3 linked regions of the Ovis aries genome follow. The protein of the gene in region 3 interacts with the protein of the main gene of each other region in a biochemical or structural test. Links are inferred from orthologs where the notes say so. Each region holds a gene or a part of one and is shown on either strand. Other genes may lie near its edges.

Region 1 (3,640 bases), on a different chromosome or scaffold from region 3:
AGGGACCTGACTTCTGCCCCTGTAGTGCTAAATGGAGGTTTTTAACATATTTTGCCCCGGAGTAACCCAGCTCTACGGGGTGACTGTGCAAACCGGGGAGGGCTCAGCCCACACCCTGATGTCCTCAGACTTTGCAGACAGGACACACTCAGGGGTCAGGGCAGCGGGCCGGGCAAGGGCACGGGCGGGCTCGGAACCTGGTATCTACTTTCTGTTACCTGTCGCTTGAGCGGGAAGCGGGAGACCTTGTGCACCGCGGGCGAGCCCAGGCCCTTCTTGGGGGGGCTCCGCAGGCGGTAGAGCGTAACGGCGGCCACAGCCAGGATGAAGAGGAGGAAGCCCAGCCCGTAGCTGAGGACGCCCGCGAACACACTGCCAGCCTCACCAGCTTCCACCAGCTCCTCCTCGGCTGCAAAGACACAGGTGTCAGCGGCCTAGCCCAGCGTCGCGGGAGCCCGCGCACTGCCCCAAGCCGGAGCCACGGGCACGGTGGGGGGCCCAGGACCGGGTACAGACCCCGCCCCCGGTGGGGTTGGGGGGAGTGCCAAGGCCTCGTTGAGTCTTCAGCAGCCAGAAGTGCGCAGGCCACAAGAAGCGTAGACAGACCCAGGAAAGAAGAGAGCCCAGCAGAGCCAGCAGCACCCTCACCCGCCACCCGGGAGGCGCCAGCACCATCCCATCAGCTGCCAGGGACCCCGCTGGCCCGGGGCACTATCGGGGGGAGGCCTGTCTGGCCCGAGACAGGGCCGAGCGGACTTTGCCTGCAGGCCGGGTGCGGAACCTGGCTGGAGGGCTCTGCAGTCCCCTGGCCTCCCCAGCGGCACTGGCGCATCCCGAGCCCCAAGAGGACAGAGCGAGAGCGGCAGAAGCCGATACCTGGCAGCACCACCAGCCACGCAGAGTGATGGGAAAACCCGATAGAATTGCCCGCCAGACACGTGTACTCCCCCGCGTCCTCAAAGGTGACATTGCGCAAGGACAGAACCTCTAGCTCCTTGTCGGTGGTGTTAGCGCCCGCCGTCTACAAAGAGAGAACACAGCGCGATAGCAGAGCACCAAGAGCAGCCCACGGGCACCGCAGCCAGAGTCCACTCGGCGCCGCTCCGGCCAGGCTGCAAGGAAAACGCCGCCGCCACCACCGCGACCGCCGCCACCGCGGCCCAGTGGCCTCTGCCCCGCGCGTCCACACTGAGCCCGAAGCCAGTCCCTCCACCGGCGAGTCCTCTGTCCCAGGTGAGCCAGACGTGTTGGCTGTCAGCGCAGCAGGCAGGGTGAGCGTGCACCGGGGGAAAGGGGCAGGCGGGGGAGCCAGGGGGGCAGGGAGGGAGGCAACAAGGCCAGGCAAAAGTGAGCAGCTGTGGGAGCCGGGGCCAGAGAGGAGGGGACAGAGAGATGGACAGACAGAGAGAGACGGCGCGAGTGCTAGAGCAGCTGAAGGCGGGCGCTCAGGCTCGGCCCCAGGGCAAGGGCATCGGGGGGCACACACAAGGTGCGGGTGGGTCAGCGCAGGCCGTGGGGGATCAGAGCAGGCAGTCACAACGGAGGCCGGGGGGTCAAGGTGCAGAGGCGGCCACGCCAGGGGCAGTGTGAGCCAGGGTCGTGGGGCGGGAGTGGCGGGGCGTGCGGGTGGGCACAGGGCCAGGGCATCAGAGCTGGAGCTCGGCGTGCCAGGCAGGCGTGGGACAGAGCTGTTACCTGCTGGGGGCCCGTGAACACGCAGCCAAAAGGCCTTCTCAGCCACGCCTATGAAATTGGAGGCTCGACAGAGGTACTCGCCCCCGTCACGCTCGGACACATTGGCCAGGCGGAGGCGCGCGTCGGCCTCCGCACTCTCACTGATCCACGACTGCGGGGACAAGAGACCCGGCTCAGGCGCAGGGGCCCCGCCGGACACACGGGCGTGACTGCCAAGGAGCTGGCCCTCGCCCAACCCCGAGGAACGGGTGGGCAGACCAGGCGGCACCAGCCAGGAGGGCTGCCTGGAGGAGGCATGGAGACACCTCACGGCGGCCGCTGTGCTCACACTGGACACAGCTGCCCATCATGCACCCCCGCCGCCCGCTAACCCTCAGAGAGATCCTCCTCAGGGCGCTCAGGCCACCCACCTCTGGGGTCCCCGCCCCAACGCTGCCAGGCCTGAGAGCTCCGGGTACTGCCCCGCCCCAAGTCTGTACTCCCGATCCCGCCCCTCAGCCCCATCGTGTGCCTTAACAGATGTTTCTCTTTGGGCAGCAAATGTCGCAATCGCCCCAGCTCGGGTGGCCCCCAACCCTGGGGCCGTGGGAACACATTCCTGCCCTGAGGGCCCAGGGAGGCGCCAGGGCTGGCAGAGCCCCGCTCCGGGTCTGCAGGCCAACGCGGACAGACCCCGCCCCCAGACCGACCCCGCTGCGTCTCCCCCAAGGCCCAGCCCGAAAGGCCTCCCCGCGCGGCCGGCCGGCGGTGGCGCCCACCTTGAGCACGGTGACGTAGGGCGTGCCGTCGGGCCCCACCTTGCTGCCGTTCACCTCCACGTGCTTGAGCCACTGGATGTGGGGCTGGGCATCGCTGTACACCTTGCAGTGGAACTCCACGTCGCTGCCCAGCACGGCGGTCTGGTTGGCGGGCAGCCCCGCCTGGAGGATGGGCCGGTGCGGAGAGCGCTCTGCGGGGCGGGGAGGGCTTCAGAGGCTGCTGGTCTGAGCGCCGCCCGGCCCCGCCCCGGCCCCCGCGCCCCGGGCCTCACCCAGCACGTCCAGGGTGTAGGTCTGCTGGATTCTGCCAAACTTGTTCTCCACGACGCACGTGTAGTTGCCGCGGTCCGAGGGCACCACGCTCTCCATGACCAGGCTCCACTGCTGGTGCCGCAGCTGCGGGTGGACTCGGGTGAGTGGACGGTGGGTTAGCTGGTCTGAGCGCCGCCTGGCCCCGCCCCGCACCCCCACCCGCCGCGGGCCCACCTTGATTCCTCCCCCACCTTGATTCCTCCCCCACCTTGATCCCTCCGATGCGGTGCTCGCCCCGGAACTCCTTGCCGTTCTTCAGCCAGGTGATGGATGGCGTGGGGTTGCCGGCAGCCGGGCAGCGGAAGCGAACCGTGTTGGCGGCCGGCACCGCTAGCAGCTTCTTGTCCATCCGCTCGGGCCGCGTCCAGTAAGGGGCCCCTGCTGTCCGGGGAGGGAGGGAAGGCTGTGACAGGCTGGGGTGGGTAGGGGCTTGCCTGTGCCTCTCCAGCCCGCTTCCCGCCTGCGGAGGGGATGTCAGCCTTTTGAAGACCCCCTCCCAGGGCTGGACGAGCTTCCAGTAGCCTGAATGCCACCTCCGGGCACGCCCAAAGCCAGGTCCCCTCACCCTCCTCAAACACCAGCTCCAGTCGGGGGGTCCAGGGCGCCGCACTGTGACCCAGGACGCAGAGACGTCTCAGGATCACCACCCACCCAGGCGGGCCCATCAGGGGCGGGCTGCCAACTGGCACAGGGACCAGGGCACACCGGGTGAGGATGCCCAGCTCGATGGATGGGCACCGCCCCTAGCCACCCAGAGAACCCAGAGCCTTGAGGCCGGCCAGGAGCCCGCGGGCTTCTGCCAGACCCCAGGCCACACTCTGCCCCATGGGTGATAGGACGTCAGAAGGCCCTGCTCCCCACCCTGCCTTCCGAGA
Region 2 (3,640 bases), on a different chromosome or scaffold from region 3:
TTAAACCTCTAGTTGGTGCAGGCCACAAATGTCATTTCCACGCGCCAGGACAGACATCTGGGAGGCAGTGTAGCGTAAATGGCCCTAAATACTGTTAAGTGCCAACCTAGAGAGAACTTGCCCCAGTGCTTGGGTCCCTGCCCACCTGCCTCCCAACAGCTGAGTGGAAGCCTGTCTCCTTGCCCTGCTCTCTACTCTTCCCCACAAATGCATCTTCTGTGGCTGCACCAGCTGCTAATAATCTCACCGAGTATAATTTTAGGCATTTTCTAAAGCCCAACCCCGGTGGTGATGTCAGACTTGGCCCATCTCACACCCTGAGAATTCTGCTTCAACAGAAAGGTGTTGGTGGCTTGGCACGTATGGACCTGCACCTGTGCTGTGACTAATTCTGTGTTTCAGTCATTACAGGTCGCAACGGTGATATCGAATAAATGCTCTATAGTGTTAAAACCTAAAGATCTCCTTGTCACCACCAGTGCACACCAGTAGGTAGGGTCAGACTAACGGAACTTTAACGCTGATCGACACCTTCCTTTTGCCCAGGGTTCTGGCCCGCTGGCTCCCCCCAGTGGCGGCTGTGAGAAACACAGCGACTTCACTGTCATGGAGATAAATTTCCTTCAGCCATGATTCAATCTTACTTACCTGAGATCAATATAGTACATTAGCGGTGCCGGGGGACTGGTGACCCCTGGCCTGTGGCAATTAGAAAGGGTGGGAAGGTGGTATCGACCGATGCTCCGGCCCTCATCTTTTAACCCTCAGGAAACCAGACAGACTCAGTGCCTTGACAGGATGACATCTTCATTAGATAAACTGGATCTCTTTCCTCAAGAGACCCAATCTGGTCAGCTAAGTAAAATGGCCATTTCATTTTCTCTCAGGTCAATTTCACTATCTTTGATTTGACAGCTCAGTCTCTCGGGAAATTCATGGGTGATTAGAGTAGTAATAGCAAGGACATCACTGTTACAGCAACAGTGAGCTGTGTCCCACTGCCTCTACTGAAGGCACGCAAAGCCCTTTGTGAAAGAGTGACCATCCATTCACACGACCCTGGGCCCAAACTATCATCAGTATTTTACAAGGAAAGGTGCCACTACAAGCTGTCCCACAAATGGTTTTAAAAGCTAAAGTTCATTTCCTGATTCTGTTCTTCACTAGTATATGCCCTCCTTAAACGTGAACACATATCAGAGTATGTTGATAGTTGCATATTCACAGAGCTACTCAGCAGAAAACAGAACTTTATAATGAGCCAACACTAGAAGGGGCCAAGAAACAGCTCAGAAAGGAAACTTCAGGAGCAACCCCATTCTTCCCAAACGAAACTGGACTTGCTTTTATACTTAGAAGGGATCCGGCAAAGGGCAAGCTTTGGGGGCAGAGGCTGTGAACCAACAGCCTGAGCCCTAAGGTTCCAAGGAGCCGGCACCTACTTGGTGGGGGGAGAGATAACCAGCAGGTGGCAGAGGAAGAAAATTCCCCAGCAGCCAAAATGCACCTTCACAGAATGTCTTCCTTTTCCTTAGGGCTGGGGTAGAGTTCCTGTGGGAAGAACTGGAGGAGGCCAAGTGCTAGCCCTAGCACACGCGGTCTGATCACTCGAATTCAGAATGGTATTGGCGGGGGTGGGGGTAGGTAGGCAGAATAGCCTGGGAGACAAGAAACCTGAAGCCAGGGCCCTGGGTGTAAAGCTGGTCTTAGGTAACAGGTCCTCCCTGACACAGAAGCACAGGCAGAACCATACCCACACAGAGGAGCAGCCACTCTCCTAGGTCTGAGTACCTGCCGCCCAGGGTCAAACCATCCATGACCTGCCTCTTCATCACTTCAGCCCCACTCCTGGCTCTTCGGAGCTGGGCCCTCAGCTCCCTGTCTGACTCTCAGACCCCAGAGGCTCCACATTCCCCCCAGGGAAACGTATGGTGGAGGGGGCGGTGGGGCCTGGCCCTGGGCCCAGTGACCCCTACCTGCCTTCTTTCCCAAGGCCCGGCAGAGGAAGGAGGGCTGTCCTGAGGCCTCGGAGAAGGACCCATGGGGAAGAGACCTTGGGACAGCCAGCCCCAGAGCCCGGCAGCCTCGCTCCTTCACAGTCGGCCTCCTCTCCCGTGTCACACAGCCCGTATAAAATTGAAGCAGCAGCAATTTTTATTGAGGGACCTAAACTGAAAATAGGTTTAGAACATAATTTAAAAAAATAAAACAGCAAAAGTAGCAAAAAATATATGACCTTTTTAAAAACATTTTCTTTTTTTTTTTTTTTTTTAATATATAGCAACTGATGCCTCCCAACCACCAGGAGCATCTTACCCAATGGGTAAATCTCTGGTAACGACCCTTTTAAAAAGACATGTAAATATATACTCAGATTTATACACTTTGTGTTTTCTTCGTAGCTATGTACAGAGCCCCTGCTTTGGGGCTGGGCCCCAGGGCCACGCCGCCGGCTCCCGGCCTCTGCGTCCCCACCCTCGGGTACCAGGTATTTGGTCATAAAAGCAAATTAGTATCGGAATCAATAAGCCACTGGCACTATCCGTCTGGAACAGAGGTCGCCTTCTGCGGAGGCCCGAGCGCTGACCACCTCTACACGCAACTCCCGCTGTAGCCCGAGGACCTGCCACCAAAACACGGGCACATGGGCTGTGCAGAGCAGGCAAAACCAATGCAGGAGAGCTAAGTCGGCTCTCGCTCGAGGGCGGCTCGGCCCCCACTGCCCGACCCTCCAGGCGGCAGTGGGGGGGTCTTGGTCCAACGTTTGGCAGGCCACGTAGTAGCCGTCAGCAAGGACCGGCCTCCCTGCTCCTCTGTCAGGCTGTGAGGAGGAGAGGAGGGGAGCTCGGGCGTGCGGGCCTCAGGGAGGCCGGCCAGCAGAGCGCAGGGGAGGCAGCGAGTCCAGCGGGAGGAGGGGCGGGGCCACAGTTGAGGATGGAGTCCGGGGAGGGGTGCGGGGTATGGGGCCAGTCAGCGCCGTTTGAGTCCGCCGTTGGCCAGCTGGGCCTGGTGTCGGGGCAGGCAGGGTTCCTCGGGCAAGGGCTCGTGAGAGAAGACGGAATCCTCCCCGGAGGAGCAGGTGGAGCTTCGGGTGTCGGGGAAGCTGGGGGAATATTGGTCCAGGGGCATTGACAGGTCCAGGTACTCCTGAGGGCGGAGACAAAAAGATGCAAGACCCGCACTCTGCTTCCCGCGGCGGTAGGATTCATTCCGCGAGAACTAGAATCCCGCGAGAATTCGGGCCGGTCGGCACACAGGATCTGGGAAGGGCCGCCTCACCTGGTTGGAGGTCAAGGCCACGATGCGGTCCAGGTCTTCCACCAGCTGCTTGAAGGTGGGTCTCTGAGAGGGGACTGCGTGCCAGCAGTCTCTCATCATCATGTAGCTGGGGCAGGATGGCGAGGTCGGGGTGGGGGGAGAGGACAGGCTCAGGGTGGATGGGCCGCGGGCGGCTGGCTGCGCGCCTCCTACTCCTCCCTCTACGCCCCGAGCCCAGCCCACCCCCAGGGCCCAGCCCAGGACCCCAGGCATCTTTTCTCAGGCTTACAGCTCGTTGGTGCAGTTACTGGGCTTGTCCATACGATGACCCTCCTTCAGCAGCTTGAAAAGCTCCTCCACGGGGACCCCAGGGTATGGGGAG
Region 3 (4,311 bases):
TCGGGCGCCGGATTTCTTTGTCCCAAGCCCGGGGTTGGGCGCGAGGGACGCCGGCCGCGAGCAGAACCGAGCCCCGGGCTCGGGGCTCCGACTTCCACGTGCGTCCCGCGGGTTTAGAGCAGGAAGCAGCGTCCGCGACCCTTGGGCGCTCCCCGCACCGGGCTCCCTCAGCTCGGCGGCGGCTTCGGGGCCGCGAGGGACCCGGGGCCCTCGGCTTTCTCATCCCCCGAGGGCGGGTCCAGCTCGCCCCTCGGAGCGCGGTCCAGGGTTCCAGGGTAGGGGGAGCCCCCGGCGCGCGCTCCTGCACCCGGACTCTCCGCAGACGCAGGCGAGCTCGCGGAGCGAGGCGGTGCTCGGGCGCCCCCTCACCCAAGCCCGCCGCGCCGCGGGGCGGGACCTAAACGCAGCGCCGGCTTGTGAGACGCCGGGAGAGCCCCGAACCCGGCCAGGAGCGGCCACTGCGGCCGGTGTGCGCGCGTGGGAGGGGGCTGGGCGCACATTCCCCCGCCCCCGCCTCACCGGTCCCACCTGCCGCGCCGCTTGCTCCTGTCTGCAGGAGAGATGAGAGCGCAACTGTGGGGTCCGTTCAAGCTCATTAAATCAGCCCCCTTCACTCCAACTCTTAGCTAAGTTTTATTTAACTCAAAGCAGCCCCCGAGCCCCAAGTGGGAAAACTAGTTCTCCCGATTCAGTCTGCACCTCCGCCGCCGCAGCGAACGAGGGGTTAGCTTCGTGGCTGCGACTCCGCGTGAGCGACGCGGCCGCAGAGGCCCAGGGGCCCGCGGTCTCGCGCCTCCTTTGTGCGACCGGAGGCTCGGGGCGTCCCCTGGTCCCCGCGCTCCGGCGCGCGGCGCGGGGCCTGCCGCAACGCGGAGGGCGAGGCGGGCGCTAGGACCGCGGGGAGCGCGGGCGGCGCGGCGCTACCTTAAACCCGGCCCAATGCCGCCGCCTGCGCCACTCTGCGCGCCGCGGGGCTGCGCAGGAGGAGCGCTCCGGCCACCTCGCCCCGCGCCCCGGCGACACCTGTTCGCGGCCGCCGGCGGCACGCGGGTCCTGCCGCGGCGCCCCTCGCTCCCGCCGCCGCCGCCGCCGCCCGCCGCCCGCGCCCGGCCGATGGACGCCAGCCGAGCCCCCGGAGGACTCTGGACACCAGCCTTGGACGCCTAAAGTTTTCCCTTCTTTTTGTTTTATTATCATCCTTCTCATTTTTGGAGGAGGGGACGGGGCTGCAGATTCGTCGCCGCCACCAACGTGAGATTTTTTTTTTTCCTCCCTTGAAGGATTCCTGCTGATGTCTGCAGAGTCGGTTAGAGTAAAAACAGCGCATGCCTTCCTGGAGTCAGGATCCGTAAATTCTGACGTAGCCCGTGCATCTTAAAAACCCCTATAATAACGCCTAGGCATTTAAGTTGCTATGGTCATTCTGGTCGCAAGCCTAATGGAGAAACTCCGGATTTTTTTCCCTCCCTACGGTCGGATGAGATGAAGACCTGCGTGCCTGCCGAGAGCTGGGGATCTGTGTGTAGAGATACATAGATACGTTTATCAATATGTCAGTGTGCGAGTATAAAGTGGTGCTTGCTTAGACTATCCGCGGTTTGACCTTGAACCTGAGCCAGCGAAACGGCAGGTTACTTTTATTGATGCATTTCATGGATTGAAGAAAAGGACCTTTTTTCTTTTTCTTTTCTTCTCTCTGCAACTGCAGTGAGGGACGGGAGTTGGATTTACCTCGCCGAGTACCTCCTGGGTTGGCACCATCATCATTGTTTATCGCTGTGCTCGGAACGCCTGCCGACTCTGCCGATGGCTCCCCTGGGTGAAGTTGGGAACTATTTCGGCGTGCAGGATGCGGTGCCGTTCGGGAACGGGCCGGTGTTGCCGGTGGACAGCCCGGTCTTGCTAAGTGACCACCTGGGTCAGTCCGAAGCAGGGGGGCTTCCCAGGGGACCCGCGGTCACGGACTTGGATCACTTAAAGGGGATTCTCAGGCGGAGGCAGCTGTACTGCAGGACTGGATTTCACTTAGAAATCTTCCCCAACGGTACTATCCAGGGAACCAGGAAGGACCACAGCCGGTTCGGTAGGTGCACCGTTAACCCTTGAGGGCCCGAGCTGGCAGGCTCGGACCGCAGCTACCCAGAAGGCGGCCGGGCGCGGGCGGGGGATGAGGGAAGGGGTCTGCGGGAAGGGGTCTGCGGGAAGGGGTCTGCGGGAAGGGGTCTGCCTCCCTTGGTCTCGGACTGATTCGGTCTCATTAACTCCAGGGGAGAAAAAAGCCTCCGGAATTGCAGACCTGCCGCTGGCACTGATGCGGGTCTACACTGGAAGGCTTTTTTTTTTTTAAAGGAGGGCATGATTTATAAATATAACACATACCCCTAGTTCTTTTGCATCATATAGGCCGGCAAGATCGGGTTTAGGAAGTTTCTTTTGAATGGAGTGATTCCACGAGTTTCAAGCTTTAATCATTAACTACGGAGAACTTAAAATGCATTTTGCTCAAGGCAATGCTTACCATCTCGTGCCAAATGAAGTTTTTGCCCCTTCCCTTTATTCCTCCAAAAAGTGTCCTGCTTAAATTGTAAATGAAGCGTATTGCTGATTCCCACCGAGTGGGACTGGGGCGCTTTAGGCGAAGGTTGCAGATTGTTCCGTGGGAGGAGAGACTCAAGTCGTATTTCAGACTCCGGGGCTGCAGGGGCAGGGCGCAGGGGGGTTGGGGGACGGACTCGGGCAGGGGCAGGGCCCTGTCTAGGGTCGTTTGTCCTTCCAGCCATCGACTTATGCCCTGTGCTGTCTAGTTCCCACCACGCGCAGCCCTGTGTAGGATTCCTGGGTGCCTCTGGTGTGCGGGTGTGCATGTGTGCGCGCATGCAAAAGCGGCGAGCTAATTTTAAAGGGCATTCCTAGGGCTTCATCTCCGGAGGAGGGTGTCTGTGACTCAGCACGAGGGCTGCAGACCCCGGAGGCTGGAGACCGTCCGCTCTAATGACTGCACACACGTGCCCGCTGAGCCGCCGGGCCCGACGGCAGCGCCCCGGGGGTGGTGGGTGGAGGGGCTTCTCCTGGTTTTTTTTCCCCCCATACTTACAAAATAAAGCTGGGGGTGGGGTGGGGGAGGTGGCGGTGTTTGGGCAACCGGACTGTTGGAAGGAGTTAACTTATTGAGCGAACCCCTCTGACAACTTAAACTAGGTCGTAAAAGCAAAGTCCTGTGGTGCTTTCTGTTCGTCAAGCTTCACGCCAGATGCTGAGCACGGTCTCAACTGTCCGTGTAGCTCGTGGGCTGCAGACGATGGCCGACGTGAGGCCGGCCCGGGCCTGAGATGGGCCGGCCCCGGGGTTTCCTGCCTCTGTCCTCCCTCTCCGAGCCTCGGCCCGGAGGGACCCACCAGGGAGACGGCTCAGGGTCCCCCCCCGCCCAGCTCCCGCGGCCCCGTCCGTTTTGCAGTCTCCAGTTACCCAGAGGAAGCTCGAGAAGTGGAGGCGGCTCCGGCCGCTGCGGAACGAGGACGAAACTTCGCACAAGCGCTCACCTCGGCCGCCCCCAGGCCGCCAGCGCTCGCGCCGCGCTCCGGACCAGGGCGGGCGGCCGGGTGCGTGGACGTCGCGCCCAGCCCGGGCCCCCGCGCGCCGGCCGGCAGGTGCCACTCGGCTGCCCGGGCCCCGCGCGCACTCGGCTGCCGCCGGCCTGCTCCGCGCGGTCCTAGACGCGCTCGGGTTCGGCGGCTCGCCCCCGCCCCGCGCGTCCTGGGCTGCTGGGACCGCCGAGTCCGGGGCGCCGGGCCCGGGCGCACTCCGGCCGCATTTAGGGATCGGGCTCCTTGAGCCCGGGGCCGCGTCACTTCGCGCTCGCGGCGTGAGAACGCAGGTCCAGCGGATCGGGCCGCCGCCGGGAGCAGCGTGGCCGCGCGTGGGGCGGGAGCCGCCGGAGGCGCGCGCGGCGGGGCCGAGGCCCCGGAGTCCAGTCCCGTCTCGGACCCCTCTCCGTCCTTCGGAGCGCACAGCCGGGTCCCGGAGCGGTGGGCTCGCGGCGCCGGAGGTGGGTCGGGCCGGCCGGCAGGGCCGGGGCCGCGGGGTAGAGAGAGGGGACAAAGGGCGGCATAGGCAGGGGGCCGCGTGCCATTGTTGCGGACCCGCCGTCCCTCTCCGCCTGGGGAGCCCGCCGTGGGCTCCCGCTTGCGGCCGGCGACCTCCGGTGCGGAGCAGCCGAGCCCGCCCGGGGAGACCGGGAGGCTCCGCTTGGGGCTTCTCCTCCTCTCCGTGCGCTTTTTTTTTTGTTTGTTTTTTAAACGCAGTCACCTTTCG

Evidence for each region.
Region 1: the proteins of FGF9 (region 3) and FGFR3 form a complex in vitro, tested with the Homo sapiens proteins (3 studies listed by BioGRID and IntAct, with this or other methods). The link is inferred for Ovis aries from reciprocal best matches to the Homo sapiens genes FGF9 and FGFR3.
Region 2: the proteins of FGF9 (region 3) and FGFR1 interact in a biophysical measurement, tested with the Homo sapiens proteins (2 studies listed by BioGRID and IntAct, with this or other methods). The link is inferred for Ovis aries from reciprocal best matches to the Homo sapiens genes FGF9 and FGFR1.

The regions. Positions count from the first base shown.
Region 1 is NC_056059.1:117,455,781-117,459,420, forward strand, and holds part of FGFR3 (fibroblast growth factor receptor 3), read right to left. Parts: intron 3,147-3,640; coding exon 2,974-3,146; intron 2,850-2,973; coding exon 2,726-2,849; intron 2,645-2,725; coding exon 2,454-2,644; intron 1,847-2,453; coding exon 1,696-1,846; intron 1,022-1,695; coding exon of another isoform or gene 877-1,021; intron 410-876; coding exon 219-409; intron 1-218.
Region 2 is NC_056079.1:32,638,886-32,642,525, forward strand, and holds part of FGFR1 (fibroblast growth factor receptor 1), read right to left. Parts: coding exon 3,548-3,640; intron 3,386-3,547; coding exon 3,280-3,385; intron 3,148-3,279; coding exon 2,971-3,147; 3' UTR 1-2,970. UniProt on the Homo sapiens protein: Tyrosine-protein kinase that acts as a cell-surface receptor for fibroblast growth factors and plays an essential role in the regulation of embryonic development, cell proliferation, differentiation and migration.
Region 3 is NC_056063.1:35,651,305-35,655,615, reverse strand, and holds the start of FGF9 (fibroblast growth factor 9), read left to right. Parts: upstream 1-1,414; 5' UTR 1,415-1,806; coding exon 1,807-2,083; intron 2,084-4,311.